Macaca fascicularis: one gene and its partner. The protein of the gene in region 1 interacts with the protein of each later gene in a pairwise test. Links are inferred from orthologs where the notes say so. Each region holds a gene or a part of one and is shown in the gene's direction. Other genes may lie near its edges. The genes, in order: VIM and PNMA5.

What was found.
Region 2: the proteins of VIM (region 1) and PNMA5 interact in binary tests that used the Homo sapiens proteins (3 or more experiments, as listed by UniProt). The link is inferred for Macaca fascicularis from reciprocal best matches to the Homo sapiens genes VIM and PNMA5.

Annotation. Positions count from the first base shown.
Region 1 is NC_088383.1:18,129,033-18,144,929, forward strand, and holds the start of VIM (vimentin), read left to right. Parts: upstream 1-8,869; 5' UTR 8,870-9,014; coding exon 9,015-9,577; intron 9,578-10,241; coding exon 10,242-10,302; intron 10,303-13,201; coding exon 13,202-13,297; intron 13,298-13,384; coding exon 13,385-13,546; intron 13,547-14,297; coding exon 14,298-14,423; intron 14,424-14,774; coding exon 14,775-14,995; intron 14,996-15,428; coding exon 15,429-15,472; intron 15,473-15,874; coding exon 15,875-15,897. UniProt on the Homo sapiens protein: Vimentins are class-III intermediate filaments found in various non-epithelial cells, especially mesenchymal cells. Vimentin is attached to the nucleus, endoplasmic reticulum, and mitochondria, either laterally or terminally.
Region 2 is NC_088395.1:159,078,311-159,094,244, reverse strand, and holds PNMA5 (paraneoplastic antigen-like protein 5), read left to right. Parts: upstream 1-7,340; 5' UTR 7,341-7,638; exon of another isoform or gene 7,639-7,652; intron 7,653-7,832; 5' UTR 7,833-7,954; coding exon 7,955-9,301; 3' UTR 9,302-10,714; downstream 10,715-15,934.

The DNA of each region.
Region 1 (15,897 bases):
CCACTGCACTCCAACCTGGGGGACAGTGAGACTCTGCCTCAAAAAAAAAAAAAAAAAAAAAAAGAATAAAGAAAAAAAGACATCATGTCCTTTGCAGGAACATGGATGGAGCCAGAGACCATCATCCTTCGCAAACTAATGCAGGAACAGAAAAGCAAATACTGCATGTTGTCACTTATAAGTGGCAGCTAAGATGAGAACACGTGGACACAAAGAGGGTAACAACAGACACTGGGGCCTACTTAAGGGTGGAGGGTGGAAGAAGGGAGAGGGTAAGAAAAAATAACTATTGGACAATGGGCTTGGTACCTGAGTGATGAAGTCATCCATACAACAAACCCATGTGACACGAATTTACCTGTATAACAAACCTGCACATGTACCCTTGAACCTAAAATAAAAGTTAAAAAAGAAAATTGTGCTATTAAACAAAATTATTATTAGGTCCCTTACCTAAATATCTTGAGAAAAAAACTTCTACCACTTGGGAACTACATGACCTCCTCAAAGGAGACAGAGTAAATTCCCAAGATGCCAATTGCATAACCTTTTTTTCTCTCTCTCTAAAAAAAAAAAAAAAAAAAAAAAAAAAAAGGAAAAACAGAAAAACAACATCATAGGCCGCTGGGCAAATACCTGATAGTTTTCTTATGGTAGTCTCACTCAGCCAGTAACTAAACTGGGATGATGTCATTTCGGGCTCTTTCAAATGACATGAGGTTTTTATAACTGGATTGATGATTTTTTTGTTTGTTTGTTTGTGGTTGTTACTGTTTTTTGATCAAGTGAACTAATACTGAACATCTGGCGTTAGTTCTTTGTCCAACATCAGCTGGAATTTATTTTTGCACTAGATTTCTCCTCCATATGTTAATTAAACTCTTGTGTTTTCCCTACATACTTACCCCCTTCTCTTTCCTCTGTCACAGACTGTGAATTAGACTTTGATGAAGTTGAAAATTACTTAAAATCTACAGGGAATTGTTACCTGTGTTTTCCCCCTCGCATGTTCAAAGATATCTCCCAGAAAGTGTCTTCATGGTTTTTTCTTTCCCTTCTAATGTTTTAAACACTATTTTAGAGAATCGTGATGAAGTTCATGATTTTACACTAATTGTGGGAACAAGGCTAATTCACTCAAAGCAGCTAAATGACAATATAAGACCGTCTACTTTAATCCTTTAGGTGAACAGATTAAAAGTGCTTAGAAATGCTGCAGACCCTGGGCCTGGTCTGATAGCGGTCGGTGAGCATTAGATTCTCGCAGGAGCGTGAACCCCATTGTGTAGTGTGCATACAAGGGATCTAGGTTGTGTGCTCTTTATGAGAATGTAAGGCCTGATGATCCCTCATTGTCTCCCATCATCCCCAGATGGGACCATATCATTGCAGGAAATTATATGGAAATCAGGGCTCCTACTGATTTTACATTATGGTGAGCTGTAGAATTATTTCATTATATATTACAATGTAATAATAGAAATAAAGTGCACAATAAATGTAATGTACTTGAATCATCCCGAAACCATCACCCCGGACGCCTGGTCCATGGAAAAATTGTCTTCATGGAATCGGTCCCTGGTGCCAAACAAGCTGGGGACCACTGCTGGATAATGTAAAACCACACTGTCCAGTTATAGCTCACCTCCGTGAGACTACAATTCATATAGACCAGAGAAGGGAAGATACTTCCAGGTTAAGGTACCTGAATTAACTGTCTTTCAACTCAAATTAACTTTCCAACTAATTATTTCTATTATTTCTGTCTGGAAGGCATCTATGCTTTCTTTTCTTTTCTTTTTTTTTTTTTTTTTTTTTGAGATGTAGCCTTGTTCTGTTGCCAGGTTGGGGTACAGTGGCACAATCTCGGCTCACTGCAACCTCCGCCTCCTGGGTTCAAGCGATTATCCTGCCTCAGCCTCCCGAGTAGCTGGGAGTACAGGCGCAGATCACCACACCCAGCTAATTTTTGTATTTTTAGTAAAGACAGGGTTTCACCATGTTGGCCAAATTGGTCTCAATCTCTTGACCTCGCGATCCGCCCACCTCAGCCTCCCAAAGTGCTGGGATTACAGGTGTGGGCCACCACATCCGGCCTCATTTATTCTTTTAATTACCCTGTTCACAAGGCTCAGAGCCCACTCGATTTTGCTTATCCTCTCGCCCTTAAATATCACAATTGCTAAAATCATCTCCGCCTCAGGCTCCCTTTACCATTCACTTGATCTACCTCAAGCAGACCTCAAATCAGCCTCGTTCTCCAATCCTAAAATACAGCTACAAGCATGTCTTTCTCCCAGTTGAAATTCACAGTGCATTCCCACTGCCCACCACATTAATTATCAACTCCTCTTCCTGGCATTTACCCGTCCAACGCATAATCCCACGTTAACTTTCAGTTCCCTTTCTCCCCTACAAATACTCCGTAATCCAGCAACCCTGGGATTATTCCTGTTCCCTAAATGTCCTCAGCACTCTGCCACCCACACAGTTTTTGCTTATACTGTTTGGTCAGCACTAGAGCAACCTTTCTTTGCCTTGAGAAGCTGTAGAAATTGTACTCATTCTTCAAATACTGTCTTTTCTAATGACAATTTCTGTTCTCCCCCGAGTAGATATGATCATTTGTTTTCTCAACAATATGTAACTTATTTTTCGGTATAGTATTATAGTTTTTTTTAAAAAAAAATTTAGATTTAGGGGGTACACGTGCAAGTTTGTTACGTGGATATGTTGTGTGATACTGAGGTTTGGGCTTCTAATGATCCCGCTGCCCAAATAGCGAACATAGTACTTGATAGGCAGTCTTTCAGTCCTTGCCTCCTCCCTTCCTTCCCACTTTGGGAATCCCTAGTGTTTATTGTTTCCCTCTTTGTCTCTGTGTATACTCAATGTTTAGCTCCCACTTAGAAGTAAGAACAAGCAGTATTTGGTTTTCTGTTTAGCTGCATTAATTTGCTTAGGTTTATGGTTTCTAGTTGTATCCATGTTACTATAAAGGACATGATTTCATCCTTTTTTATGTTATATAATATTCCACAGTGTATATGCACCACGTTTTCTTTATCCAATCCACTGTTAATGGGCACCTGTGCTGATTCCATGTCTTTGTTATTGTGAATAGTGCCGCAATGATTATTTCTCCATCTAAACTCTTCAGTATTTAATCCTATCTGTGCAACAGCACTCACTTACCTCATTCTGCTATGTATTCCAACTCTTTATCTGCTTTCTAATCCTTATACAAGGCTATGAGATCCCTAGAGGCATAAAAAGTATCTTACTTACTGAAATATACTAAGATACATTGCAGGCAGTGCAAAAAAATATGAATACATCTATCTGTTGAGTGGAATATGAGGAAAGACCTGAGGGTGGAGGAAATGTACTATATTCATGGAATAAGAAGGAGCTTAGGGTTCTACTGAAATTGCTGCCTGGGGGGAACAGTGGGAAATGAGGATGGATATACATACTTAACATAGCTTCCAAAGGCCACCAGTTAACTATGATCCTCAACTTCCTCTGCAGCAAAATTTCTGTTTTCCTCACAGTCTTTATCACCACTTGCAATTATTTTGTTTGTTTCTTTACGAGTATTGTCTCTCTGAATCATATACATATACACACTCAACACTACATTCCAAGAGGCTTTGGGCCATACCTGCTTTTGTCCCTTCCCCAGTGTCTACCAGACTGCCTGGTACATGGCAAATATTCAATAAATACATTTGGAGTAAATGAATAAAAGTTGTGTACCATGATACCTTGTGAAGATTAAATGCAGTCATGTCTAAAGTGACTAGCACAATGCTTAAACATAATAAGCACCAGTAAATATTAGCCCCACACACTATTTCTTCCTTCTATGAACTACCCATGTATTAATGTATATATTCGACAGATGTGCCTGGCTTTTCTCTAGCCACTGGAAATACAATGGTGAACAAAAAAGAGAAAAATTCCTGCCTTCCCTTATGGAGATTACATTCTAGTGAGGAGATGAGCAATTCCCACCAAGAAGTTTAAAGAAGGAAGTTTTTTGCCAACTGTGGGGGCTCATGCATGTAATCCCAGCATTTTGGGAGGCCAATGCTGGAGGATTGCTTGAGCCCAGGAGTTCAAGACCAGCTTGGGCAACATAGCAAGATCCTGGCTCTACAAGAAATAAAAAGTTAGCTGGGCATGGGTGGCACACACATGTAATCCCAGTTTCTTGGGAGGCTGAGGCAGTAGGAATGCTTGAGCTCAGAAGTTAAGAGGCTGCAGTGAGCTATGATTGCACCACTCCAGACTAGGCAACAGAGCAAGCCTTTGTCTCTAAATATATATATATGAATTATATATATATATATATATATAATATATATTTTTTAAAGAAAAAGGGGTGATGGCTTGAAGATAGATGCATTGGTGGGAGAAAAAAAGGATGGAGGAATGGAAGCCAACTGCAGTATTGCAGGAAGGCGGTACGAAATGGCTTGGATCTGAGTGACAGCAACGTAACAGAGGAATGGATCCAGAAAGAGCGGGGCATGATACCCATTGGATCTGGGATGGAAGAGTTAGAAAGTGGCAATGATGAAAGTTTCCAATCTTGTTGTTTCGTTGCGTTGCCCTGAATAGACAGGGAAGCTGGCAAGGGAAGCGACGGTGGTTCATGGGTTTTAGGGCGTGAGGTAAGCTAAACCCAATCTCGCATGTGATTCCTCCTAAGAGGCAAAACGGAATCTACGTGAAAAATTTTAACTCACAAATGAAAGTAAAGTTTTAGAATGCAGGTGAAAACAAACTCCCTTCTTATATATTACGATCACTGCTACATCATTTGATTTTGCTTTTTACATCATTTTACATCATAAACATGGTGTTGTAGCTGTCTGCCAAATTCTTCTAAAAATCTGCCCCTTAGCAGCAAGATCTGTGTTAATCATCCCATCTCTTCAGTTCCTGGAACGTAGTAGGTCCCTAAATAATAAGTCCAGCACTTAATATTTGTGAATTGAACTGGTTGATAATAAGCAAAATTTTGTTATCAAGACAAACAGAAAACAGATGTGCATTTAGAGTCAGAAAGGCCTCGATTCAAATTCTTGTCCCCTTCTTCCCTCCCCTGCTAGTCATACGACCGCAAGAAAATTGTTAGCCTGCATCTTAGACTCCTCATTAGTGAAGTGGATGATCAAGTCTATCTTGCAGGAGGGTGTGAGTGCGTTAAGTTAAATTAAATGTATACACAGTGCCTGTCATCCAGTTGGTATCAACATTAAAGTAGTTATACTATTATTATTACCTGTATTTCCATGGATTTTAGGTTTTGATATGGTTTTCACCCTCTCACTCTACCCTCCTCCTTCTTTCTAACATTCCATCCAAACAGTCCTGCTAGATGCTGTTCTCTTGGCACGGCTAGCCAGCTTTCCCAAAGCCTCCATAGGCCACTAAGCTTCTGTCCACACGGCTGGCTGGTCCGTCAGTTTAAGTCACCCAATTCAACTGACATCATGACAGCTTGCAAATTCCAAAATCACTGTTGGTAATTTAGATGTGGTAGTGTTTATGCCTGCGCTATGAATTACACCACCATGTCTTTATTTATATGCAACTCACATCATGCTGTGTTGAAAGCAGCTTCCTAGTCCAGCACTTAAAAATACTTCTGAGATAGGTTTTCATAGCAATCAAAAAATAAACACAAAACCCGTGAAAGCTATGTCTGTGTACCCAAAAGATACCTAAGAACATAGTAGCATAGAGAGCAGGCTGAGTTGTCTCACTCAAGGATGTAAGTTCAGATTCATTGATCTCCCTGACTGATGACTATCACCCATTGATTGAGGCACTGTATATCTTATCTGAGAATGAAATGAATTCTTAAGTCTCATGAATTCTACATTAATGAGTGAAAGTGTTTTTGTAGCTTTCACTTCTCTTACAGCCCACCAAAAACAATGGTATTTTCTAACAGGAAGCACACATTGAACGCTGTATATGTGTATATGTATATGTGTGTGTAGTACATACATATACTTTATTTTGAGACAGGTTCTCACTCTGTTGCCCAGGGTGGAGTGCAGTGGTGTGCACAGCCCACTGCAGCCTCAATTTCCCAGGTTCAAGCAATCCTCCTACCTTAGTCTCCCAAGTAGCTGGGACCACAGGTGTGCACCACCATGCCTGGCGAATTTTTTTTGTTTCATATATATATATATGTTAGAGATGGAGTCTCACTATGTTGCCTAAGCTGTTCTCAAACTCCCGATGTCAAGCAATCCTCCTGCTTTGGCCTCCCAAAGTGCTGGGATTACACAACACTTACACTTTTATACACTCTATGTGCATCAAACAAACATGTATGTGGCAAGAGAGCAGCCTGTCACAGCCCTGAGACTTCAGAATGGGGACAGGTTGGAAGGAAGAGCTACCTATCCCTGAGATGATGAAGAGAACCGGTGCCCATTCCAGGAGACATCACCACAGCCCTGAGGAGTCAGCTATGGGCACCAGCAGGGCACAGTGCCACACTGCGCCAATGCCTTGTCCTCCTTTTCCATAGTGAGTCAGTCCGCAAGTGTCCCCTGACAGTGCCACCGCATTGCCCTGGGATCGGCATTGCATGTAGAAGTGAGTTCCACACTCTCTTCCTCCCATACAGAGATCGCCTTTCTCATTCTAAGGGTTCCAGGCAAACTCACAATGGTGACATTTGCTGAGCAGTGGCTTGAATAAAGGGCTCTCAGAAAGCAAGATGTAACTCAGAGCATAGGTTTGTCCTCCAGGGCACCCAGCCCCAGGAATGCTCTTGGGGAATGACCTGCAGCCTCCCAGTGAAAGAGAGAATAAAAGAAAGCCCCAGCAGGCGAGCTGGGCAGTAGAGAGTCCTGTAATTCCACCTTGGCAGCACCATTTGCAAGAACGAACCGGGATAAGGTAAACAAAATATTGCCTAAAAGAGGCTTGTCCGAAGAAGTCAGAAGAAGCTCTTCATTGGCCTCTAAATTATTTTTCTTAAATACCAGGTAACCTGCAGTACCCCTTGCCCCCACCAAAAAGAAAGAAAGAAAGAAAGAAATGCATTTTTTTCCCTCCTATCCACTGCAGAATCGATTTTACAGTGGTTCTGTAGTTAATCCTTTCAGTACACCATAAATCTAAATACTCAAAAAACCTGTGCTTTTTCAATTGCTACTAAATCACAAGAAGACTGATTTACATAGCCGCCTTTTATCTCCCTTGGCTGGTGAGTACTCAGCTCTGCTCGTTACTAATATTGAAACAACAGCCCTTGAATTGAGTGATTTCCCTAGAAAGGTTAAGATGACCGAATCTGAACACTCCCTCCGTGCCTGGGACACGAAGTTTTTTGCTCCGTGGACAGTTTTATCCCCCCTCACCCCAAGGTCAATTGCACGAATTCTTCTGGAAAACAGGACCTGTGACATTTCCCAGACAAATCACCGTGAACCCTGCACTGTGCATTGCTGTCCTAAAATTAACACACAAATCTATTGCCGCCAAACATTCTGTCATTTGTGTTATATAATTGCCTTTCATTTGAACTCATTAATCAAATTGGGGTTTTTAAGCAACACCTAATTAATTATTTCATTGGCTCAAATTATACCTTTAATAACTTCCACCAGGGTGAAAACCACTGATCACTGAGTTCGATTTTGAAACTACGGACGTTGAGTTTCCTCTTTCACCCAGAATTTTCAGATCTTGTTTAAAAAGTTGGGTGTGGTTTCACGCGGGGAGGGGGAAGAGCGAGAGGAGACCGGAGGGACGGGGGCGGGGACTCTGCAAGAAAAACCTTCCCGGTGCAATCGTGATCCAGGAGGCCCACGTATGGCGCCTCTTCAAAGGCTGAAGAAGTTTCTTACTAACAAAAAGTCCACACATCGAGCAAAGTCAGGCTTTAGCGAGTTATAAGAACTTAGAGGCGCTCTTGTCCCCCAAAGGGCCCCACCGCACACATCAAAGCGATGGCCCAGCTCTAAGTTGGTAGGACTGGGAACCAGCAGCACGCGCGGAGCCGCGGAGACTCGAGTCAATCTGGTCTAACGGTTTCCCCTAAACCGCTTAGCAGCCCTCAATCGGCGGGACAGCAGGGCGCGGTGAGTCACCACCGGTGACTCAGCGACCCCACCCCTCTCCCTCGGGCTTTCCTCTGCCACCGCCGCCTGGCAACTCCCGCCGTCCGAAGCTGGACTGAGTCCGTTAGGTCCCTCGATAGAGCCTCCCCTCCCCCCCAACATCTCCCAGCCAAGGCAAGTCGACTGACAGAGGCGCGGGCCGGAGCAGCCCCCCTTTCCAAGCGGGCGGTGAGCGAGGCTGCGCGGGGCCCTGAGCCCTGCGTTCCTGAGCTGTGCGCGCCCCCATCCCGCGTTCCAATCTCAGGCGCTCTTTGTTTCTTTCTCAGCGACTTCAGATCTGCCGGATCCCTTACTCTTCCCTCTTCCCGCTCCTTTGCTCGCGGGTCTCCCCACCTGACCGCAGCCCCGAGGCAGCCGCGCGCTTCCTCCCACGCCCCTCTGGCGCGGTGCCACCGGACTCCTCTGGTTCAGTCCCGGGCGGATCCCCCCTCACCGCGCGACCCCGCCTTTTTCAGCACCCCAGGGTGAGCCCAGCTCAGACTATCATCCGGAAAGCCCCAAAAGTCCCAGCCCAGCGCTGAAGTAACGGGACCATGCCCAGTCCCAGGCCCTGGAGGAGAAAGGCTCGAGGGCGCCCCCACCCCACCCGCCCACCCTCCCCGCTTCTCGCCAGGTCCCTATTGGCTGGCGCGCTCCGCCGCTGGGATGGCAGTGGGAGGGGACCCTCCTTCCTAATGCGGTTATAAAAACAGCGCCTTCGGCGGGGTCCAGTCCTCTGCCACTCTCGCTCCGAGGTCCCCGCGCCAGAGACTCAGCCGCGCTCCCACCACCCACACCCACCGCGCCCTCGTCCGCCTCTTCTCTAGGAGCCAGTCCGCGCCACCGCCGCAGCCCAGCCCATCGCCACCCTCCGCAGCCATGACCACCAGGTCCGTGTCCTCGTCCTCCTACCGCAGGATGTTCGGCGGCCCGGGCACCGCGAGCCGGCCGAGCTCCAGCCGGAGCTACGTGACTACGTCCACCCGCACCTACAGCCTGGGCAGCGCGCTGCGCCCCAGCACCAGCCGCAGCCTCTACGCCTCGTCCCCGGGCGGCGTGTATGCCACGCGCTCCTCTGCCGTGCGCCTGCGGAGCAGCGTGCCCGGGGTGCGGCTCCTCCAGGACTCGGTGGACTTCTCGCTGGCCGACGCCATCAACACCGAGTTCAAGAATACCCGCACCAACGAGAAGGTGGAGCTGCAGGAGCTGAATGACCGCTTCGCCAACTACATCGACAAGGTGCGCTTCCTGGAGCAGCAGAATAAGATCCTGCTGGCCGAGCTCGAGCAGCTCAAGGGCCAGGGCAAGTCGCGCCTGGGGGACCTCTACGAGGAGGAGATGCGGGAGCTGCGCCGGCAGGTGGACCAGCTAACCAACGACAAAGCCCGCGTCGAGGTGGAGCGCGACAACCTGACCGAGGACATCATGCGCCTCCGGGAGAAGTAAGGCTGCGCCCATTGCAAGTCGCTGGGCCTCGGGAGGGGGCTGGAGGGAGAGGGGAACGCCCCCCGCCCCCGCCAGGGCTGCCACGCCCTTGGGGATGAGGCCCGGGGGAGGCCTGCCGGGGGGACTGCGGAGAGCAGCGGCTGTGGCTGTGGCGGCGCAGCCCCGCCCAGAACCCAGACCTTGCAGTTCGCATTTCCCCCTCTGTCCCCACACATTGCCCAAGGACGCTCCGTTTCAAGTTACAGATTTCTTAAAACTACCACTTTGTGTGCAGTTGAAGGCCCTTGGGCACAATGAGAGCGAGTCCTCCAAACTTTTATAAAGTTTCCTGCCCCTTCTGGCGGGCGGCCAATCGCCGGGCGGGCGAAGGAAGGAGGGGAAGGCGGTGGAGGGAGCGAGACAAAGGGATGGTCTCTCGGGGGTGGGTATGGCGGCGCTGTCCTGCAGGTCTGTGCGGCGACCGTGATTGCCCCTCTGCGCGGTGCCCAAGGTCCCACTGAAACCTGCCGAGGGCCACAGGCCTGAAAGCTGCAAGCGCTAGTTGCGCCGAGGTGGCGCAGCGGCTCTGGAGGCGCAGCGCGGCTACGTGGTGGTTGGGTGTGGCCGCCCCGCCCCTGGCGGTTTCCCAGTTCCCCTTTGGTTAATGCGCAACTGTTTCAGATTGCAGGAGGAGATGCTTCAGAGAGAGGAAGCCGAGAACACCCTGCAATCTTTCAGACAGGTTTGTAGGCTCTCTTCCCACTCGCAGCTACCTGACCCCACCCAACACAACCCACGAGCAATTCTAAAAGTTGCTTAACCCACGTCTAAAAAGTGCAAAACTTCAGGGCTGCGCGTAAAGCCCTCTAGTGGCGGGAAGACCACAGATTGGAGCTTCTCATTATTAGAAAAAATATTAATAAAACCGCTTGGACGATTTTTTTGGGGGACGGAGTCTCACTCTGTCGCCCAGGCTGGAGTGCAGTGGCGAGATCTTGGCTCGCAGCAACCTCTGCCTCCCGGGTTCAAGCGATCCTTGAATGATTTCTAAGCCGTTCCTTGGGACATAAAGAAAAATCTTTTAACTTTCTACTTTGTTTTCAAAATGTTGCACAGTTTTGCAACACATTGACCTTCTGGTTTCGAACGGTCACAATTTTAGATTGTGGTTTGCCAAAGTCAAGTCGCTTAATTTTTACAAGGTCACAAAAAGCGCAGTTATGCCCTACAGTTTAAAATGGAAAACGTGTTGGAAGATAAGAAAACTTAGTTTCCAACTGGAATGGAGCCAGCAAGTTTCTTTTCTTCTTTGCAACTTCTATTGTGGCATTAAAGTTCGATGGAAGTATCACTATGCACAACTATTTTGTGATCTAATAAGGGTGAAAAGGAGCCATCTGTCCCCTCGGCTGAGGGGTATTAATGGTTTCTATGGGCTTCACTATGGAATGTAGATACAGACATTCTGGCAAATGTGGTGGCTGTGGACAGAAATAATAGGAGTCTTTGTGTTCCCGGGGAAGCTTTGCAGCAGGCTACATTCTTATTGAATATGTAGTGATGTAAGCACGGTTCTAATTGGACACAAGTATTTGCTAACATCCGTTATCTAATATCTGGCCCAGACTTGAGAAGTATGTAATGTAAAAAGTTTTTAAAGCTACAAACATACCTCACATTTTGAAAGTCCTTTCTTGATTGGATTCTTGTATTCTTTAGCACTCTCGCCATAAAAAATAATAATAATAGTAATAAATCTAAGGCTGAAAAATTCAATTTTAACTAAAGGGTTTTTGTGCGTTTTTTTTTTTCCCACCAAAATTGGATGGACTTATAGAATTTTTGACTTAAAATTGGAATCCAGAAGCCAGAAGATCCCCATTATAGTCTATAGTTTTATTCCCTGGAATATTTACTGGGATTAACTACAAAGCACTCTCAGATGAATAGTGTAGTACAACATTTTGAAACTGAAATACATTTACCAAATTAATTTAACCACAGCAATGTGTGGTTCATTTTAGTCCTTGAGCATTTTTGATTATCATACCTGTAATGTTTTCTGCAGAGTAGTGAGTTAACGTAAAACAACATCAATACAAAAGATCCTCTGTTTCGAGATTAAGCAAAATTCCTCATTCTCTTTAAGCAAAATTCCTCATTCTCTTCAATGTAATAGTAATACCACATTGATCTTTCTTTGGAGATTAGTAAAATATCTTTTATGTATTTCTTAGGGCTTAGCAAGTAAAAATGAATGTTTTCATCAAGTCTGATCTTTTTATCACCCACTCTTCATTCATTTTTCCACTAAGGTGATAGAAAAGTCTCAACAGTTTAAGACCATAAGGCTATAAACTGAACTCCAAATATAATTGCTGACAAGATAAACAATCCTCACGCATCCTTTTGAGAGGAAATAAAATCTTAGTTGCAAGATTACATGTTCTGAATTGGAATGTTGAGCTTTACAAATGGAAACATAGAAGGACAGCTGAATCAGCAAAAATCCTTCATGTAGTTTCATTCTCTGCAAGTTTGACCAGTCATTCTGAAACAGGCCAACTGAACGGATACAGTGGCAAGCGAAAAAGACACGCCTTTGTAGGATGAGTCAAAGGAGTTTTAGAAGAAAAATCCATCAGAGAAAGCAGAGAAAATACAGTTCAGAGTTACATTTCTTTTCCAATTTTTCCTGAACTGAATCTTTGGCAGCATATCCTGAATTGGGTTATTATTGAATATAAATCTAGCCTTGTACAATGGATGCCACATGATTGCATATTTGCTTTGGAGCCTAAGGATAAGTTTCAAAAGATTTGAGTGGGGAAAAAAAGCTAAAACTCTTGAAGCACAAGTTTCTGTTCTCCATGTACTCAAGTGTACATGAAGTTATGAAAATTTGTCCACCTCTATCATCATGTTATTCCATGAAATTACAAAACAAATCTTAACAATGTTGTGGCATAGATTTTCTAGATTTAAAAAGTAATTAAATTAAAGGAATTACTTTCTTTTTTGAGACAGAGTGTCACTCTGTTGCCCAGGCTGGAGTGCAGTGGCGCTATGTCAGCTCACTACAACCTCTGCCTCCTAGGGTTGAAGAAATTATCCTGCCTCAACCTCTCAAGTAGCTGGGACTACAGGTGTGTGCCACCCACCCAGCTAATTTTTGTATTTTCAGTAGAGATGGGGTTTCGCCATGTTGGCTAGGCTGGTCTCAAACTCCTGACCTCAAGTGATCCACCCGCCTCGGCCTCCCAAAGTGCTGGGATTACAAGCAAGAGCCACCATGACCAGCCTTAAAAAATAATTTTAAAATGTCACAGGTAAAATGTGGATTCAGTCATGATTGAGTGCAGTTTACCATGTGTGTGGACGTTTATTTATTTTAAAATTGTCCATTCACCACCTTGAGTAAAACACAAGGGGTCACAATTAAAATATATTAGTGAGCAGGAGAAAGCACAGCATATTATAGCACTGAATGATTTATAAACCTATTCAAGGGTCATAAAATGTGTCAACACCTTTTCTATAGTAAGGAGACTAGGTTCAGATGGTTAATCTAAGACAAATAAATGAGATAAGCCATAGACTTTTACATCCTCCATGTCCTGTCTTTTCTCTGTTCAAAATAGGATGTTGACAATGCGTCTCTGGCACGTCTTGACCTTGAACGCAAAGTGGAATCTTTGCAAGAAGAGATTGCCTTTTTGAAGAAACTCCATGAAGAGGTTAGTGGAGTGACTTTTGGGGAATGAATGAGGGTAAGGCAGCCCCCACGGCTGGCACAGCTGACCGTCTGTCTGTTCTTTTTGCAGGAAATCCAGGAGCTGCAGGCTCAGATTCAGGAACAGCATGTCCAGATCGATGTGGATGTTTCCAAGCCTGACCTCACGGCTGCCCTGCGTGACGTACGTCAGCAATATGAAAGTGTGGCTGCCAAGAACCTGCAGGAGGCAGAAGAATGGTACAAGTCCAAGGTAGGAAACAAATCAGTGTGGCTTGAACAAAAGAAAAGCATTGTGTTCTCAATACCCCATACCTGTGTGCGATTCCTAAATATCCTCTAGCTCCAATGCAAAGCTGGCTTTGACTTCTTGCTCACATTGTGTTTGTCGCCACGGCCTTCCCACCACTCACATCACCTCCTTTATATATATATATGTATATTTATGAGACAGAGTCTTGCTCTACTGCCCAGGCTGAAGCGCAGTGGCATCATCTTGGCACACGGCAGCCTCCGCCTCCCAAGTTCAAGTGGTTCTCCTGTCTCAGCCTCCTAAGTAGCTGGGACCACAGGCAAGCACCACCATGTCTGGCTAATTTTTGTCTTTTTAGTAGAGATGGGGTTTCACCATGTTGATCAGGCTGCTCTCAAACTTCTGACCTCAGGTGATCCACCCGCCTTAGCCTCCCAAAATGTTGGGATTACAGGTGTGAGCCACCACACCTGGCCACATCACCTCGTTCAGAATAGCAGACTCCCTTTTCCCTAACCTTGCCTCCAAGTAAACCCCAATGCCATACCTTTGACGTCCACTGTGTTGAAATGAGCATAGTAGAGTGAACTTTGAAAATATTAATGTCAGTACTCCACTGCTCTTTCCCTGACTTTAAAACAGAAATTTAAACCTATACTGGAAGACATTCAGTGAGAAATACGATTTTTTTTCTAAGAGAATCAAAAGACTTGAATGTGAGCAATCTACATTTCTGTTTTCTTCCTAACAGTTTGCTGACCTCTCCGAGGCTGCCAACCGGAACAATGACGCCCTACGCCAGGCAAAGCAGGAGTCCAATGAATACCGGAGACAGGTGCAATCCCTCACCTGTGAAGTGGATGCCCTTAAAGGAACCGTGAGTACCAACCCTGCAGTAAAAGAGGGAAAATAATGACTCATTTTGTTGACTAAGCTCATGGTGATAACCTGAACAAAATGCTGAGTGAGTAAAAATTTATACCTTAATGCAAAGAAAATGAATTATCAAGACAGACTCAAAATGGACTTGATGGAGCTCTTGAAGGTTTTAGCTTGCATATATCATTGCTTCTCATATGAAGGACTTGGTACTTGTATTCTCCACCAAAAATTATAGTGGTCGCCATTTGCCACTAATGGAAATTATTGCAGAAGGTCTGTAAATGGTTCTGGGAACAGCTGGGGTTTTCTGAGAAATAACACCAGAGATCTTTCTCACCTCCTACAGAATGAGTCCCTGGAACGCCAGATGCGTGAAATGGAAGAGAACTTTGCCGTTGAAGCTGCTAACTACCAAGACACTATTGGCCGTCTGCAAGATGAGATTCAGAATATGAAGGAGGAAATGGCTCGTCACCTTCGTGAATACCAAGACCTGCTCAATGTTAAGATGGCCCTTGACATTGAGATTGCCACCTACAGGAAGCTGCTGGAAGGCGAGGAGAGCAGGTAGGGAACTCAGACTTGGATGCGTGAACTAATGGTGACCATTTGTTAGGCCCTGTGCCACTGGCCTCTAAGCACAGTGTCACATTTAGTCTTTAGAAAGTTTCTTTGAGATAACTACTTTCCACTTTTTGTAGAGGAGGAATTTGAATTGAGAGAGAGTAAATAACAGCAGAGCTGGGATTTGAACCCACAAATCTGTCAAAACCTCCACTCTTCTAACTCCTGTTCATGCCTCTGTGGAGAAAATGTAGTAACATATTTTAAATGTACTAACAAGACCAGTCGTAGGAAAATGTTTCTGAGACAAATCCCTAGTTTATGACTTAAAACAGTACATTCTCTTACATGACGAAAACGAGAAGTGCATTAATTTGTTCCTAGTGGTTGAAGTTATGTGCCTACAATTTTACTGTTTCTCTTCATCTGTTTATAGGATTTCTCTGCCTCTTCCAAACTTTTCCTCCCTGAACCTGAGGGGTAAGCATTTTATTTCCCTTTAAGAAAAACATCAGCAGCTTGTAACCATGGTGTTTATGTCAAAGCATTCTTTTTTTTAGGATATCTGAAAAATGCCATATAAGAGAAAACTCTGTAAAACATCTACTTTTCAAACCCAAGTACACTCTTGCACTCTATGCTCTAAGTTAAATGCAAACTCCTTTTTCCTTCTTCCTGCTGCAAGTGCTGTCTCATCCTGATTCTCAAGTGTGTCAGGGCCTGGGCTTGCAAACAGAGACTACTCAAAAATTATTTGGGGAGTAGCACTTCACACAATTGTCTCTCCCCCACAAATCATAATTGTTTCACTAAAATGGTTACTTGGTTTTTCTAAGAAAAAAGTCATTTGTACTCATTTTTGGCCTCTTTTTGTTTATTTAGAAACTAATCTGGATTCACTCCCT
Region 2 (15,934 bases), on another chromosome or scaffold:
TTCCCACCATCTCCTGGGTCTGTGCTGAGGGCCTCTGGGGAGGAGCTGCTCAGAGAAGAACACACACAGCTCCATGAGAACAAGCAGCCACTGGCCTAAATCTACACCAGGAAAGCAGAGGTGGTGTTTAAGATGCAGGACAGGCAGCAGTGAGCAGAACCTGGGCTCGCAGGAAGCTCACAGCACATGCCCCGGGCCTAGAGGCGGTTGCCCAGGTGGGTGCACAACACACAACTTTGCAGAGGAACGACAGCTAGCAGTGGGTGGGCGTCTGCTGGGTCACTGCGGGGCCTACACAGGTGAGGGTGGGCTTCCCAGAACAGGGGGCAGCCTGCCCTGGGGACGGCAAGTGGGGTGACCCTCTTGGGAGACCTAGGCAGTTGGCACCCTTGAGAGGACCTCTTTGCCCCTGTCTCTCCCAACCCAGGACAAGGGGTGGGGGACAGACATCTTCAGGTGCCCCCACCCAGGCCGCAGCTGGCCACTCAGGGCTCCCTCCAGGCCAGAACCCTGGAGACGGCAGAGTTTGGGGCTGGGGCTGGGTGCAGCACTGGGTGCAAAGGAAGGGCACCTCCCCCAACCCCATTTGGTATCAACGTGGTCATCTGGGTCACCGGGAAGGGCTGATGGTGGTGGCCAGGGCCCTTTGGAGGGAGGTGGGGGGCCCCAATCCTGATATGGGATGAGGGACCAGCCCTGGCCTGGCCTCCCCTCTGCCTCCAGGATGCTGCAGCCTGAGAGGAGAGGAGGCCCTGGGGCCCTCTGAGCCTATTTGCCTGGGGAGGATTTGCGCTGGCCCACCTCCCTGGCCCTGTCCTCATTTTCCAACTCCTCCAGGATGAACATAAGCCTCCCTTTGGGGGGCTCCTCAGCCTCCTGGCCTCCTGCCTGGACAAGGCCCTCTGGCTCCTTTGAGCTCTGCAGGGGCATTTTCACCTTCCCCAGTGGCAGGGGTGCCCCTGACAGCCTTTTTGGTGGCAGGAGCAGTCTCAGCAGCATCTTCTACCCCAGGATCAGCCTGGCTGGCGTCCCCCTGGGCTGAGGAGGCCTGGGCAGCATCTCCATGGGCAGGAGCTGCCTGGGCGGCAACTGGGTCTTCACTCTCTGCTGCAGCCACTGGCCAGGCCACACCCTGCTGGCTCCTCACTGGGGAGGCCACCCACACCTCCATCTCCTGGATGAGCTGGAGCAGCCCCAGGAAGCTGGGTGGCCTCCTCTCCAGCTGCATCCCCCTCAGGGTATTCTGGAGGGCCTCCCTAGGGCAGGCCTGAGGCAGCACCTACCGCAGTCGCAGGTGATTGGCCAGGGCCGGGCGGACGGCCGCCTTCTCCAGGGCCATCTGCAGCAGGCCTTCCAGGTGTACCAGGAAGGCAAAGGGCCCCTGCGGGCAGGTCAGGAACTTCAGCCCGGAAGTCATTCGAGTGACCCGGTTCCTAAATACCTGCTCCAGCACCACCGCCAGGCAGTCCAGCACCGCCACAGTTGGGATCTTCCTCCAGGAGGCCGCTCACGACGTCCGGGACCAGGCCACTCAAGCTCTCCAGCAGCCACCTCTTCCTCTCCCTTTCCGACGCATGGTACCACAGCTGCAGCATATCCTTGGCATGCTCCACCCAGCTCTCAAAGGACTCTTCCTCGCAGCCTGGCTGCTCCCTCTTGGAAAAGGGTCTTAGTTCCTGGTAGGCCCTGTTTTCCAGCACAGCCTGCAGGGTGCAGCGCCAAGGCTGGACCCAGGTTCTTGTTACATTTGTCCCTCCTGCCTCACCCATAGCTCCTGCCTCACCCACAGCTCCTGCCTCACCTGCAGTTCCTGTATCACCTGCGGCTCCCTCATCTGACTCTCTTGCCTCTTCTGCAACTCTCAACTCATCTCCAGCTCCTCCCTCACCTGCACCTCCGGCCTCACTTGCACCTCCTGCCTCACCTGTGGCTTCTACCTCACCCTTACCCACAGCTCCTGCCTCACCTATGGCTCCTGCTGTACCTGCAGCTCCTCCATCACCTGCCTCATCTTCCTCACCTGCAGCTCCTGCTTCACCTGCACCTTTGGCCACTGCTTGCCCCTGGGGCTGTGCAGGGAAACTGGATATATCCTGAAATCAGCATCAGGGGCCTGGGGCAGCGAGATCATGTTCCAGTGTCCTTCTTTGCCTGGTATTCAACAGGGAATCAAGCTTCGGTTTAAACCCTCAGCGAACTCCACCAAGGCTGCCCTGGCCCCGAGCTCCTTTCTGAAGTGCTTGGTGAGCACTCGGTACCTGCCCAGGGGCGACAGGGCAGCCCGCATGGCCTCCTGGAACTCATGTTCCTCACAGTCATCAGGGATATCCAGGATGAGCAGGGAGCACTCTGCGTTCGCACCCATCCTCCTGCACCAGTCCCGAAGCATCGCCAGAGCCATCGCAGAGGACTTGAGGGAGGGAGCCTGATCAGACAGGAATGTGTGCTGACTGTTGCAGTCTCTGACGCAGCCTGTGAGTGCAAAGGGGAGAGAGGGATGTTGGTGCCAGTCAGCCCACCCCCACCACACAGTCAGAGACCAGCCACTCCCAAATGCAGGGCCTGAAGCATCTTCCCTGCCCAGTGTCACAGCCCATGCTCCCCCACCCCTACTGCTGCAGCTCAGAGCCCTTCACTGCATCCCCCACCTCCACAGCAGGAAGCATCTCTTTCACCTTGGTGTACAGCCCCTGATGGCAGAACTTACAGCTGGAGCCACTCCAACCATCATATGGAACCCTGCAGCTGGATGTGCCCACCTCCTCTTTCCCAGCACTTGACCAGGAGCCCCCTCCCATCATCCCTGCAACCTGACAACCCCCTCCCACGCCTCCCGTGTCAGCAGCCAGGAGTCCCCTTCCCCCACAGTCAGAGCCCCTGTCTCTACCATAGTCCCCTTCTGTAGCCAGAGGCACCCTGCAGCCAGGAGCTCACCCCACCCAGACTCCTGCAGCAAGGAGACCCTCCTCCCCTCTCCTCAGGTTCCAGACCAGGACCCCCTCTCGCACCTACTGCCTGGGGGCACAGCAATCTGGCTCCTCCCCAGGGCGCCCTCGGCCACTCTGGGGTCCCGCTGGTGCCTGCTCTCTGTCTGCAGACACTGCAACCACCCATGGGCAAATGCCACCTTCAGGCTGTGGAGCCCACTCCAGAGACCACCTCGAGGCCCTGGAACGGGAAGGTGGAAGATCACGCCTCAGCAGTGCAGCTGGGGCTGCACAGGGCAGGGATATCTCAGGTCGGCTGTATTAAGGGCACATGGGCTTCCAACTTCTCCCAGAAGCCTCAGATAGATGAAGGAGAAAAATCTCAGAGTCTCCGGGGGAGGCAAATAGCTAGACAGGGGGAGGCATCCATGTTGCCCTGGGAACGGGACCTGCATGGTAAGGGCTTGATGTGCCAAGGCTTGAGCCTCTGGGGGCAACAGGCCCAACCATTGACCCTCTACCCTCAAAATGGCCTAGTGGAAGTGTTGAGAGAAAAAGGGGGTTGGAAACTGGCAGAGAGAAAGCTCATGCTTAGGGGCAGGGTCTGGAAGCTGGGAGTTGGCGGACAGCCAGGTACTAGGACTCCAGACTGTGTCCCCCAAATCACTACATTCACAGGCCTCAGTAGCTCAGAGGTGACTGAGGCAGAACCTCTGTCCGAGGCATCACCTTCTGTGATGTTGTGATACCAGGCAGCTAAGCAATGGCTTCCAGCACTATTTTCTTGTCACATGAAGGAGATTGATTTAATGGGCTCTCAATGGTTTTTTTTTTTTTTTTTTTTTTAGACAGGATATCGGCCGGGCGCAGTGGCTCACACCTGTAATCCCAGCACTTTGGGAGGCCAGAGGTGGGCGGATCACAAGATCAGGAGATTGAGATCATCCTGGGTAACACGGTGAAACCCCATCTCTACTAAAAAATACAAAAAAATAGCTGGGCGTGGTGGCAGGCGCCTGTAGTCCCAGTTACTCGGGAGGCTGAGGCAGGAGAATGGCGTGAACCCAGGAGGCGGAGCTTGCAATGAGCCAAGATTGCACCACTGCACTTCAGCCTGGGCTGGAGAAGGAGTAAGACTCCTTCTCAGAAGAAAAAAAAAAAAAAAAAAGACAGGATCTCGCTTTGTTGCCCAGGCTGGAGTGCAGTGGTGCAATCTGGGTTCACTGCAACCTCTGCCTCCCAGGTACAAGCGATTCTCGTGCCTCAGCCTCCTGAGTAGCTGGGATTACAGGCCTGCACCACCACACCCAGCTAATTTTTGGATTTTTAGTAGAGACGGGGTTTCACCATGTTGGCCAGACTGATCTCAAGTGATCTGCCCACCTTGGCCTCCCAAAGTGCTGGGATAACAGGTGTGAGCCACCACACCTGGCTGAAGAAGGTGACATCTGCAAATATCTTGCTTAGTGACCATCAATTTAAAATGTTGTCTGCTTTTAACATATTTATTAAAACATTACCAGAAAAGCCTGTTTTTGTTTTGTTTTGTTTTTAATCACAAAGAAAGAAAAACAAATATATTCTGTCATTAAAGGTCCATAACTTCTGGCCCTGAAATGTAATCATAGGCTTCAGACCCTTGCTCCACATAGCCTGGGCAGGGATATGCAGCAAGTAACCCAGCTTTCAGCGGAACCAGCCCTGCCTCAGATCTCCTTACTCAGAACCTGCATTTTTTTAAGATTACCAGGGGATTTATGTGCACCTTGAAGTATGCTACCTGTGCCGCACCCACACCCTTTTCTGGAACAGCACTTTCGGGCCACTGCAGGCCCCAGGATCTTCCCTCTGTGGAAGAAACCTGCTTTGGGAAACGACAGGAAGCAGCTTGGGTACTAGGTGCGTAATATTTGGTCGTGAAATCAGGAGAATAATGGGAGAATGGAATATTTTCAGTCACTGGCTCTCAGTGAGCAGTGAAAAAAACTAATGCCCTTGTGAAATGCAGGCATTAGCTGTATTTTTTGCCCTCCTCCCCTAGAACACAGTCCAGTAAAAAACGGGGGCTATGACTTTCAGGTAGCAAGCGCGCTCACGTGGCCTATACGTTGCACGGGGTGTTTTGCACCCGGCCCTTCACCACAGGCTTGGGACGCCACAGCTCCCCTCCAATGGGGAACAGCCACAATGGCTGCTGGGCCAAATGGCACGTGGCGAGCCTGGCTGCCACCATCGTCCAGCCAATAAACAACAGGACTGGGAGCTATTCTGCAATGTAAGTGGCTCCCAGCTGGGCTTGCATTCTCTGTCCTCAAAGGTGCAGGCTGGCTCAGGCTGGCACGGGGGGGCGGGGTGAGGAACCACCTTGTGGGAAGTAGGAGAGTTTATGTCACCAGTGCGCAACCGTGAGCGGGCCGTGTGCAATTCCGCTGGGGGAGTGGTGTCGTCTCCAGACAACCTCTTCCCGCCACAGCCTCGTGGCGCAGTCGGCACGGAGGCGGCAGCCGCCATAGACGTGTGGTGGTCGCGCTGCGCGGGAACACCGGCTTGGAGGCACCTCCGGCAGGTACGGAGCTGGACCCCGGGCTTAGACAGCAACTCAGATTGCGGGGGATCCCCCCAATAATCCTTGCTATTTTCAACGGGGTCTAGGGGCTGGTGGCCATAGGTTTCCATGGAGGCGGGATCCCACTAGATCACACACAGCACCCCGAGGAATCCCTGCCATTTCCAGGCAGAACTTCAGGGAGACCTGGCCAGGCGCGGTGGCTCACACCTGTAATCCCAGCACTTTGGGAGGCCAAGGCAGGTGAATCACCTGAGGTCAGGAGTTGGAGACCAGCCTGGCCAACATGGGGAAACCCAGTCTCTACTAAAAATACAAAAAGTAGCCGGGCATGGTGGCATACGCCTGTAATCCCGGCTACTCAGGAGGCTGAGGTCGGAGAATCGCTTGAACCCAGGAGGCGGAGGTTGCAGTGAGCTGAGATCATACCCTACTGCACTCCAGCCTGGGTGACAGAGTGAGACTCCGTTTCAAAAAAAAAAAAAAAGAAAAAAAAACTTCAGGGAGACGTATTCCACCCTCGACCCTGCCCGGAGACACTGCAGTCAGGACAGTAGCTCTTGGCCCTTGCCCTTGAGGGAAAGTGGCTTCGAACCTTCCCCTCCTAGATTCTGCCTGCTTCCACTGGTGTCGGTGGTGTGGGTGTATGTAAATAACAGGGTGGGGATTGGGGGAACAGGGAAATGGAGGTGGGGGTTTGGGGACATCAGTTAGACTTGCATGGAGGTAGGAGTTGGACTTGGTGAGGGGGCAGGGCTTGGGGTAGGAGTTGGACTGTGGGTGAGGGCAGGGCTTGAGGCGGGAGTTAGACTTGGGTGGTGGAAGGAGTTGGACTTGGTGGGGGGCTAGGCTTGGGGTAGAGGTGCAACTTAGTTGTAGGCAGAGTTTGGCAGCAGGCGTGCAAGTTTTGAGGTGGGGCTTAGGAAGGGGTGCAACATGGCTGCAGGGGTGGGGCTTGGGAGGGAATGAAGTTTGCAGTGGGGGTGGGGCTGCAACCTTACCTTAGGATCCCTTCTGCCCTAGCAGCAGCCCCCCCGCCCCCCACCTCCCTCCTCACCTCCCACCCCTCTCGCCATTCTTCCCCCCACTCCTCCTTCCCCCCCACCCCTCCCCCCTTCCCCCCTCCTCTTCCCTCTGCCAGTTGAGCAGTTTCTTCTACCCCTGCACCAGGGTCCTAGTGGACACCTATGCAGAATCTGAATTGGCATGGCCTGAGCAGGGACATGTGTGTGGGACAGAATCACAGCAAAATACCTGTGCTTTGCCTTGGACAGATCCAGGGAAGCAGGAACCATCACGCCTGAGTCAGGAACTGCCTAATTGGATAGAGTTGAAGAGCAGAGCGACTCTGAAGTGACTGTGTTATTGCAGCATCTGCGCTGCCAGCAGGGCCAACCCAGAAAGGTGAGCAGCTGTGAGGTGGGCCCTGTTGGGAGGGTCTCTGGAACCCCGGCAAAGAGTGTGGAGAGGGGACTGCCTGCCAGCGTTCACAGACTCTGCAGGGTAGGGCCATCTCTAGGGCAAGAGTTGTTGGTTTCCTGCAGTCTGGCAGTGGGGACCTCATCAGGGTCCCTTTTCTACCTGATTTCAGCTTCCACACAATTGAAACCATGAGCTCCTGTCCTTTCAGCACTCACTCCTCAAGCCCACCTCGCTTTCCCTCTCCCACCCTCCTTTTTGCTGGGAAGCTTTATTGGTTGGAGGCCAATGACATCACCTGTTGCTTCTCAAGGACCTTAGCCTTACCACATGACACTCCCCTGCAATAGCAACCCATGGTCCATGGTATTCTCTGTATCCATGGCAACACTGCAGCTTGTCACACAATCTCCACACCCACCACTCTCATTGCATTGCGCAGAGCTCGGCCATCTTTCTCATCTGTCAGGCATTCCTGAGAAAGAGGGCCATTCTACCTCTCCTGCTGCCAGCCTTCACTCCAGCAAGGAGGGTGCTGGGTGACCTGAGCCCACATAGCCCTGAGTGAGCAGTGAGGCCGTCTCCTGCCCTCTTCCGCCTGGAGAGCTTGTCAGTGTCCCCAGATGTCAGGCCCTGCCTCCTGACTTTGGCCTTTTCACTACAGATACCCGAAGCACACACAGCAGAGTCCTCTGGACTTCGAGGAGGAACCCACAGCAGGAGGAGGTCAGCAGGGAGTGGTGAGATGAGGAGATCTTTGCCTGGGGAGAACCTCCACCCTCTACCCTCCCCAAAATAACTTGGGGAACCCTGGGAAGAAGGGACTCCATCCCTGCTCGGGGGTGGGGGCAGAGGAGGGGTGCTTGGGGGTATAGGTTGGGGTAGGCATTAACAATGCTCTCATCCCATTTGCTTTGCAGGCTGTGGAAACCTGGGACCACTTCTACCTTCCTACGTGGCAGTGGCTCAGAGTTATTTGAGTGCTGTCAAACTAAGCTGATTGCTGCCCTAGTATTAGATCAGTCCATAGAAAGTGGGAGCAATGGCATTGACACTGCTAGAGGATTGGTGCAAGGGGATGGACATGGACCCCAGAAAGGCCCTGCTGATCATAGGCATCCCCGTGGAGTGTAGTGAGATGGAAATTCAGGACACTGTGCAGGCAGGCTTACAGCCCCTGCGCGCATACAGGGTGCTAGGGAGAATGTTCAGGAGGGAAGACAACGCCAAGGCAGTCTTCATTGAATTGGCTGACACTGTCGATTACACTACTCTGCCTAGTCACATACCAGGAAAGGGGGGCTCCTGGGAAGTGGTGGTAAAACCCCGTAACCCAGATGACGAGTTTCTCATTAGACTGAACTACTTCCTGAAAGATGAGGGCCGAAGTATGACAGATGTGGCCAGAGCCCTGGGATGTTGCAGCCTCCCTGCCGAGAGCCTGGATGCAGAGGTCGTACCCCAAGTTAGACCCCCACCTTTAGAGCCTCTGAAAGAAAGTATGTGGTACCGGAAACTGAAAGTGTTTTCGGGAACTGCTTCCCCTAGCCCAGGTGAAGAGACCTTTGAAGACTGGCTAGAGCAGGTCACCGAGATAATGCCCATATGGCAAGTGTCTGAGATGGAGAAGAGACGGCGTTTGCTGGAGAGCTTACGAGGGCCTGCTCTGTCAATCATGCGGGTGCTCCAGGCCAACAATGACTCCATAACTGTGGAGCAGTGCCTTGACGCCTTAAAGCAGATCTTTGGGGATAAAGAGGACTTCAGAGCCTCTCAGTTTAAGTTTCTGCAGACCTTTCCGAAGATTGGAGAGAAAGTCTCCACTTTCCTGCTGCGCTTAGAGCCCCTGCTGCAGAAAGCAGTGCAGAAGAGCCCCTTGTCAGTGCGCAGCGCAGACATGATTCGTCTGAAACATCTCTTAGCTCGGGTCTCCATGACCCCCGCCCTCAGAGGCAAGCTGGAGCTCTTGGATCAGCGAGGGTGTCCTCCCAATTTTCTGGAGTTAATGAAGCTTATTCGAGATGAAGAAGAGTGGGAGAACACTGAGGCAGTGATGAAGAATAAGGAGAAGCCATCAGGGAGAGGCCGGGGGGCCTCTGGTAGACAGGCAAGAGCAGAAGCCAGTGCCTCTGCACCTCAGGCCACCGTGCAGGCAAGGTCTTTGAGCGACAGCAGCACCCAGACTGTACAGGGAGGCTTACCCCCATTAGTGAAACGCAGGCGGCTGTCGTGCAGTGAAAGCACTAGGGAAGAAGACTATGGCCAGGCCATGTATCCCAAGGCTGAAAACCAGACTCCAGGCAGGGAGGGGCCACAGGCTGCAGGAGAGGAGTCGGGAAACGAGGCAGGGGCTGGGGCCATGAGCCATCCCAAGCCCTGGGAAACATAGGCTCAGAAGACCCAAGCACTCCTTCCCCTGGCAGGCAGCAGGGACATTTGAACAAAGGGCAGCTTACACTAACAGGGAACTTGATTGGGGCAGAGGGACAGGGAAGCCAGGTCAAGATCAAGCCCCTTTACTTTCCACCAGCTGGAAGGGACTTCACCAACCTAGACCAAATAGCATCTGGTTCAGTGGGGGCCAGGCCCATGGCCCCTAACAGGTATAGGAGACACAAGCAGGGAACAGCTACACTTAGCACAGGGGGTGGCTGGGCTTCAGATGGGGACCCCAACAAAGCAGGGGCTGAAGACGGTGTGGCTGGGGGCTCTGGCCTGGTCATCTGGACACCCCCAAATATCCACCCTGTGAACTTTGAGCTGAGAATGCCCACTGGCACCCAGGCCATGTGGGACCTGGAGGAGCCTGCCTGGGGCCTGCCTCTGCCAGAAGGAGCCAGGGCTGCTGAGGAAGAGCTGTGGGGGAGAAGTGAAGCCCGGCAGGGGAGGCTGCAGGGTCCAGCCCGTCTTTAGGATCATTTACACTGCATGAGGGGAGCCCCAGGAAGGCAGCATTCATGACCCCCTGCACCAGTGAGGAAGAGAAAGAGGAGGAGAATTAAGAAGAGGATGATCAGGAGGAGGAATAGGAGAATAAGGAGGGGCAGGAAGAAAAGGAGGAGGAAGAGGGGGAGGAGAAGGAGGAAGAGGGGAAGGAGGAGGAAGAAGTGTGAGAAGAGAGGACTTGTTGGGGGTGGGTAGTTGTTTTTGGTTTGCGTCATCACCAGGCCCAGGCTCTGCTCACTGCTGTTCCGTGTCAAGAACTCCACCTCTGCTTTGCCGGTGTAGATCTCGGCCAGCAGCTGCTTGTTCTCTTGGGGATGTTTGTGTTTGTATCTGAGCAGCTCCTTTCCAGAGTACCCCAGCGCAGTTCCAGGAGACAGTGGGAAGGAGGCATGGCAGACGCTCACCTTGTGACCGTGACCTTGACTGCAGGAGGACGAACCAGACACAGGACGGAGCAGGGCTGCCTGAGGCTCCCCAGGAAGCTTTGTGCTTTGGCGTTCCACCCCTGTTGTTACTCGTGACTCAGTTTCCTCAACTTGGTGGGGTGTTCCCTGCTATGTTTTCCAGCATCCTGTGACTGTCCTGTGCAGTCTATAAGACAGGGCCCTGCCCCAGCGGGTGGGCTCAGGAGGGGGTTACCTGAAGTGAGTACACATTGCCAGAGCCCACAATCCTGGCAAGAGGTGGATCCTGGGGCCCTGTGGAAGGAGGGATGTGGTAGGGGGAGCCACGGTGAGGGAGGGGCCTGGGACTTGTGACTTGCAGTGGTTGTTTGCAGTGTCTGTCTGTGTTACAATTCCCTTCTCTTCAGCGGTTTCAGTTCATGTTTCTCTTCAATAAATTTTGTTCAGTGTTCCAGCAGTGTCTTGCCTCTTCTGTATGAAACTGGGGTGGGCGGTGGTCTGCTGGGGACGAGGCCACAGTGGCCAGGCTGACATTGGGGTGTGTGTCCATGAGGACCTGTGGTGTGCCTTGGGCTGCATGGAGCCTGGCGACAGGATGCTGGTGGTCATGAGCAGTGACTGGTTGGGTACTAAAGGCACTCCAGGTGCCCTCAGGAATAAGTGGGTTGGACATTGAAGGCTGGGCAAGGGGCAGCAGGTGGGTTCCAGGCCCCTGATTCCTGGCAGCACTGTAGGGGTGTGGCTCAAGGCTTCCAGAAGGGTCAGAGAGGCCATGTGTGCAACCGAGGGCAGAAACCAAGGTCAGAGAAGAACCCCAGGAGGGCCTGGACAGGCAGTCAGAGGCCCTGTGAAGAGCTGTGTGCAGGACTCAGGGGGTGGTGCAGGGGCTGCTGTGTGCCCACCCTCCCAGATCAGCCCGCAGGTGGCCAGCCTTGGCCTAACCACTGAGGGATGTTTGGGGATAGTGTGTGTGTGTGATGGCCAAGGGACAGAGTGTTGGTCAGACAGGGATCCCAAGTGCTTATGTGTCGGGGAGGGGGAGAGGAAGGGCGGGGGGAGCTGCACTTCATCCTGGGTCCTGTTCTGCTCTCTTCCCAGTGTGCTGGGGGGGCCTCTACTCCTGTGTCCTGGGAGCAGGCAGTGGGCCATGAGCTGCAAGTCCAGATGGCCCTGGGGAGTGACCCCTTTCTGTCCTGCGTCCCCGAGGCCCTCTGAGCCCTGGATGCTGCCTGAGGAGGGCTCCCTCAGGGTGGACAGCGCTGCTAATCCGAACACCCCTCCTTGAGCACTGGCCGGAGGGGCAGTCCTCAGTGGGGGCCTGAGGATCCTGGAACCCGCCCTCCTGAGCCCTCCTGGGACTGGCTCTCTCTCCCAACAGGCCAGGGAGCTCGCCACAAATTGAGGGTAGTCCTCGATCAGCCATTTAACTAACCCAGAGTCTGTGGGCAACAGGACTGGGACAACTGATAGGCCCCTCCCTGCACAAGTGCGGGGAGGGGACGGGATCAGTGACTTGGACCTGGCGAGGGTCTCCCAGAGCTCACTCAGTCTGTGCCCACACGCTTCCTCCAGCTGTTCTGGAGCACAGAGCCTCCGACCATCCCCTTGGCTCAGATGATAGCCAGGGTGCCCCAAAGCAGCCTGGGAGCCAGTGCTGGGAATGGGTGGCTGCCCGCCCGGGCTGAGGAATCCTGGATCTAGGCGACCTGTCTGCTTGAGCAGAGCTGCAGTCAGCAGGGCTGCAGGGCGGCAGGGGCCCTGGGAGACACTAGGCATACACAGGCGAGTGCAGGCGTGGGCGGGGGGTAGTTTTGCGGGGCTGTCGGGGAGGGGCAGGGGCAGCAGGTCCCTGGGGCTGGGTCTGCAGCCTCCTCGGCCTGAAGGTGCCTAACCAGTGTCTCAGGGACCCTTGTAGTGTGTCGCATCGGGGTGCCCTGCGGGCATGCCTGTGGCCCCCACTGTGCTCTGCTGTCCCTGCCTTCTTCAGGCTGGGCACAACCCCAGCATGTCTGTCCCTTGTGTCTCAGCAGGGCCAAGTCAACTGCTCACTTTCCAAGGGCCCCTCCAGATTTCAGGGACAGGACAAGAAGAGAGGGCGAAGAGCTTGGCTGACCTTGCCAGAGCCTGTCAGGGCTCCTTGGTTTTCCCTGTTCAGAGTGGACCTGTGTGTGCCGTGAGTGTCTGAGCGGGTGTGTTTGCGCATGTGCGTGTGTGTGTCAGTGTGAGCATGTGCATGAGTTTCTGAGAAAGTGAGTGTGTGTGAATCCAAGTGACAGCATGTGACTGCATCACTAAGCATGTGTGAGTGGGAGTGTGTGGGGGAATGAGGCTGTGCCATTGAAGGTGAGCATGCATGTCGCTGCATGTGTGTGACACTGTGAGTGTGTCAATGCGTGTCAGTGTGTGTGTGTTTGTGAGTCATTGTGCGTGAGTGTGCTGACTGCAAATGTGGGTGTGTCGATGAGCAGGCATGTATGTGTCATTCAATGCGTGTTTGTCACTCAATGTGTGCGCGCATGTGAGTGTGTCTGGAACGTGAGCGTGTCACTGAACGTGTGCGCGACTGTGTCAGTGAGCGTGTGAGCACACAGGCTGGATAGCTGGGTTGTGAAACCTAGAAGGGATCTAGCCAGGGAGTCTGGAAGGCGGTACCGGGAGGAACCAGTTGCTTCCCCACCAGCCTGGAGCCAGGAGACTTTGTTGGGCCTGAAGGACGGGCCCCACCACGGGGCCCCCTGTCCCTTTCATCCTGGCCAGGCCCTTGGTGTGTGCCGGCTTGCAGAGCTCCTACCATGCATTGTGCTTCACTGCACAGTCCTCACCAAGTGTCCCTGGGGGGTGGGGGCACGGGGCATGTGTGGCCTGGGGACAGAAAGGTCCATCGAGGTGCCTTCCTGGGTGCCCAGGGGCTGACCAAGCCCATCCAATAAGCAGCAACCTCCTGGGCTCACAGACGGCTTGAGCAGTGGATGAGGGAGCGGGATCAGAGCCCAATCATGGGGGTTGAGGCTGAGCAGAAAGGACTCAGAGAAGTCCCGTCCTCAGGACTGTCCCAGAATAGACAAGACTGAGTGGGGTCCCATCCTAAGGCCTATCCCCTGAGCAGGGAGGACTGAGAGAGGTCCCGTCACCAGGCCTGTCCCTGATCAAAGTGGTCTGAGAGAGGTCTTGTCCTCAGGTCTGTCCCCCGAGCAGAGAGGAGTGAGAGCGGTCCTGTCTACAGGTATACCTCTGAGAAAATTAACTGAGATGGGTGCCATCATAAGACCTGTTCCTTAACAAGAGAGGACTGAGTTGGGTCTCCTGAGCAGAGAGGCCTCTCTCCGAAACCTGAGCAGGGGGAACTGTGAAAGGTGCTGTCCTCAACTCTGTCCCTGATCATAGAGAAATGACAGAGGTCTCATTTTCAGGCCTGTTCCATGAGCAAAGAGGACTGAAAGAGGTCCCATACTCAGGTGTCCCCTGTGCAGAACAACTGAGAGAGATCCTATCATCAGCCCTGTCCATGAGCAGAAATGTCCGACAGAGTACAATCCTCAGGTTTCTTTCTGAGCAGAGAGGACTGAGAGAGGTCCCATCTTCTAGTTTGTCCCCTGAGCAAACAGAACTGACAGAGGTCTCATCCTCAGGCAGCCCCTGAGCAGGACGACTGAGAGGACTCCTGTCCTCAGACCCATCCCTGGGCGGAGAGTCATAAGAGAGGTCCTGTCCACAGGCCCATCCTCTGTGTAAGAGGTCAGAGAGGGATCCCATCCTAAGGTCTGTCCCCTTAGCAGAGAAGACGGAGAGTGGTCCTGTCCTTTCTACTCAGGCCTGACCCTGAGTAGAAAGCAGTGGGAGAGGTATCATCCTCCGGTGTCCCCGGGCAGAGAAGACTGAGAGAGATGCTGTCTTCAGGCATGTGAGGCTTAGTGGGCAGAGAGAGGTCCTGTGCTGTGGCCTGTCTTCTGAGCACAGTCGACTGAGAAAGATCCCATTCACGTGTCTATCCCAGAGCAAAGAGGACTTAGAGGGGTCCTGTCCTCAGGCCTGTCCTTTGAGCAGAGAGGATTGAGAGAGGTCCTGTCCTCATATCTGTCCCCTAAGAAGATGGACCGACAGGGGTCGTATCTTCAGGCCTGTCCCCTGAGCTAAGGGGACTGAGAGAGTTCCTGTCCTCATATCTATCCCCTCAGAAGATGGACCGACAGGGTTCCCATCCTCAGATCCGTCCCTTGAGCAGAGAGGACTGAGAGACATCCTGTCCTCAAGTCTATCTACTTAGGAAATGGAGGGACAGGGGACCCATCCTAAGGCCTACCACCTACGCTGAGAGGACTGAGAGAGGTCCTGTCCTCACATCGATCCCCTTAGAAGATGGACCGACAGGGGTCCCATCCTCAGGCCTGTCCCCTGAGCTGAGGGGACTGAGAGAGTTCCTCTCCTCATATCTATCCCCTCAGAAGATGGACCGACAGAGGTCCCAAACTCAGGTCCGTGTCTAGAGCAGAGAGGACTGACAGACGTCCTGTCCTCATATGTATCCCCTTAAAAGATGGACCGACAGGGGTCCCATCCTCAGGCCTGTCCCCTGAGCTGAGGGGATGAAGAAACGTCCTGTCCTCACATCTATCAGCTCAGCAGATGGACCAACAGGGGTCCCATCCTCAGGCCTGTCCCCTGAGCTGAGGGGACTGGGAGAGGTCCGGCCCTCATATCTATCCCCTTAGAAGATGGACCGACAAGGGTCCCATCCTCAGGCCTGTCCCCTGAGCTGAGGGGACAGAGAAAGGTCCTCTCCTCATATCTATCTTCTTGGAGGATGGGCGCACACAGGTCCCATCCTCAGACTTGTCCTCTAAGCTGAGGGGACCGAGAGAGGTCTTATCCTCATATCTATAACCTTAGAAGATGGACCGACAAGGGTCCCACCCTCAGGCCTGTCCCCTGAGCTGAGGAGACCGAGAGAGGTTCGGTCCTCATATATATCCCCTTAAAAGATAAACCGACAGGGCTTCCATCGTCAGTCCTGTCCCCTGAGCTGAGAGGACTGAGAGACGTCCTGTCCTCACCTCTATCCCCCTAGTAGATGGACCGACAGGGGTCCCATCCTCAGGCCTGTGCCTAGAGCAGACGGGACTCAGAGATGCCCTGTCCTCATATCTATCCCTTTAGAAGATGGAACCACAGGGGTCCCATCCTCAGGTCGGTCCCTTGAGCAGAGAGGACAGAGAGGGGTCTGGACCTCACATCAATCCTCTTAGAAGATAAAACGACTCGGGTCGCATCCTCAGGCCTGTCCCTTGAGCAGAGAGGACTGAGAGAGGTCCTGTCCTCACATCGATCCCCTTAGAAGATGGACCGACAGGGGTCCCACCCTCAGGCCTGTCCCCTGAGCTGAGGGGGCTGACAGTGTCTGTCCTCATATCTATCTCCTTAGAAGATGGACCAACAGGGGTCCCATCCTCTGGCCTGTCCCCTGAGCGGAGGGGACTGAGAGAGTTCCTGTCCTCATACCTATCCCCTTAGAATATGAACCGACAGGGGTCCCACCCTCAGCCCTGTCCCCTGAGCTGAGGGGACCCACAGAGGTCCTGTCTTTATATGTATCACCTTGGAAATAGACCGTCAGGGGTCCCATCCTCTGGCCTGTCCCATGAGCTGAGGGGCCCGGGACAGTTCCTGTCCTCATA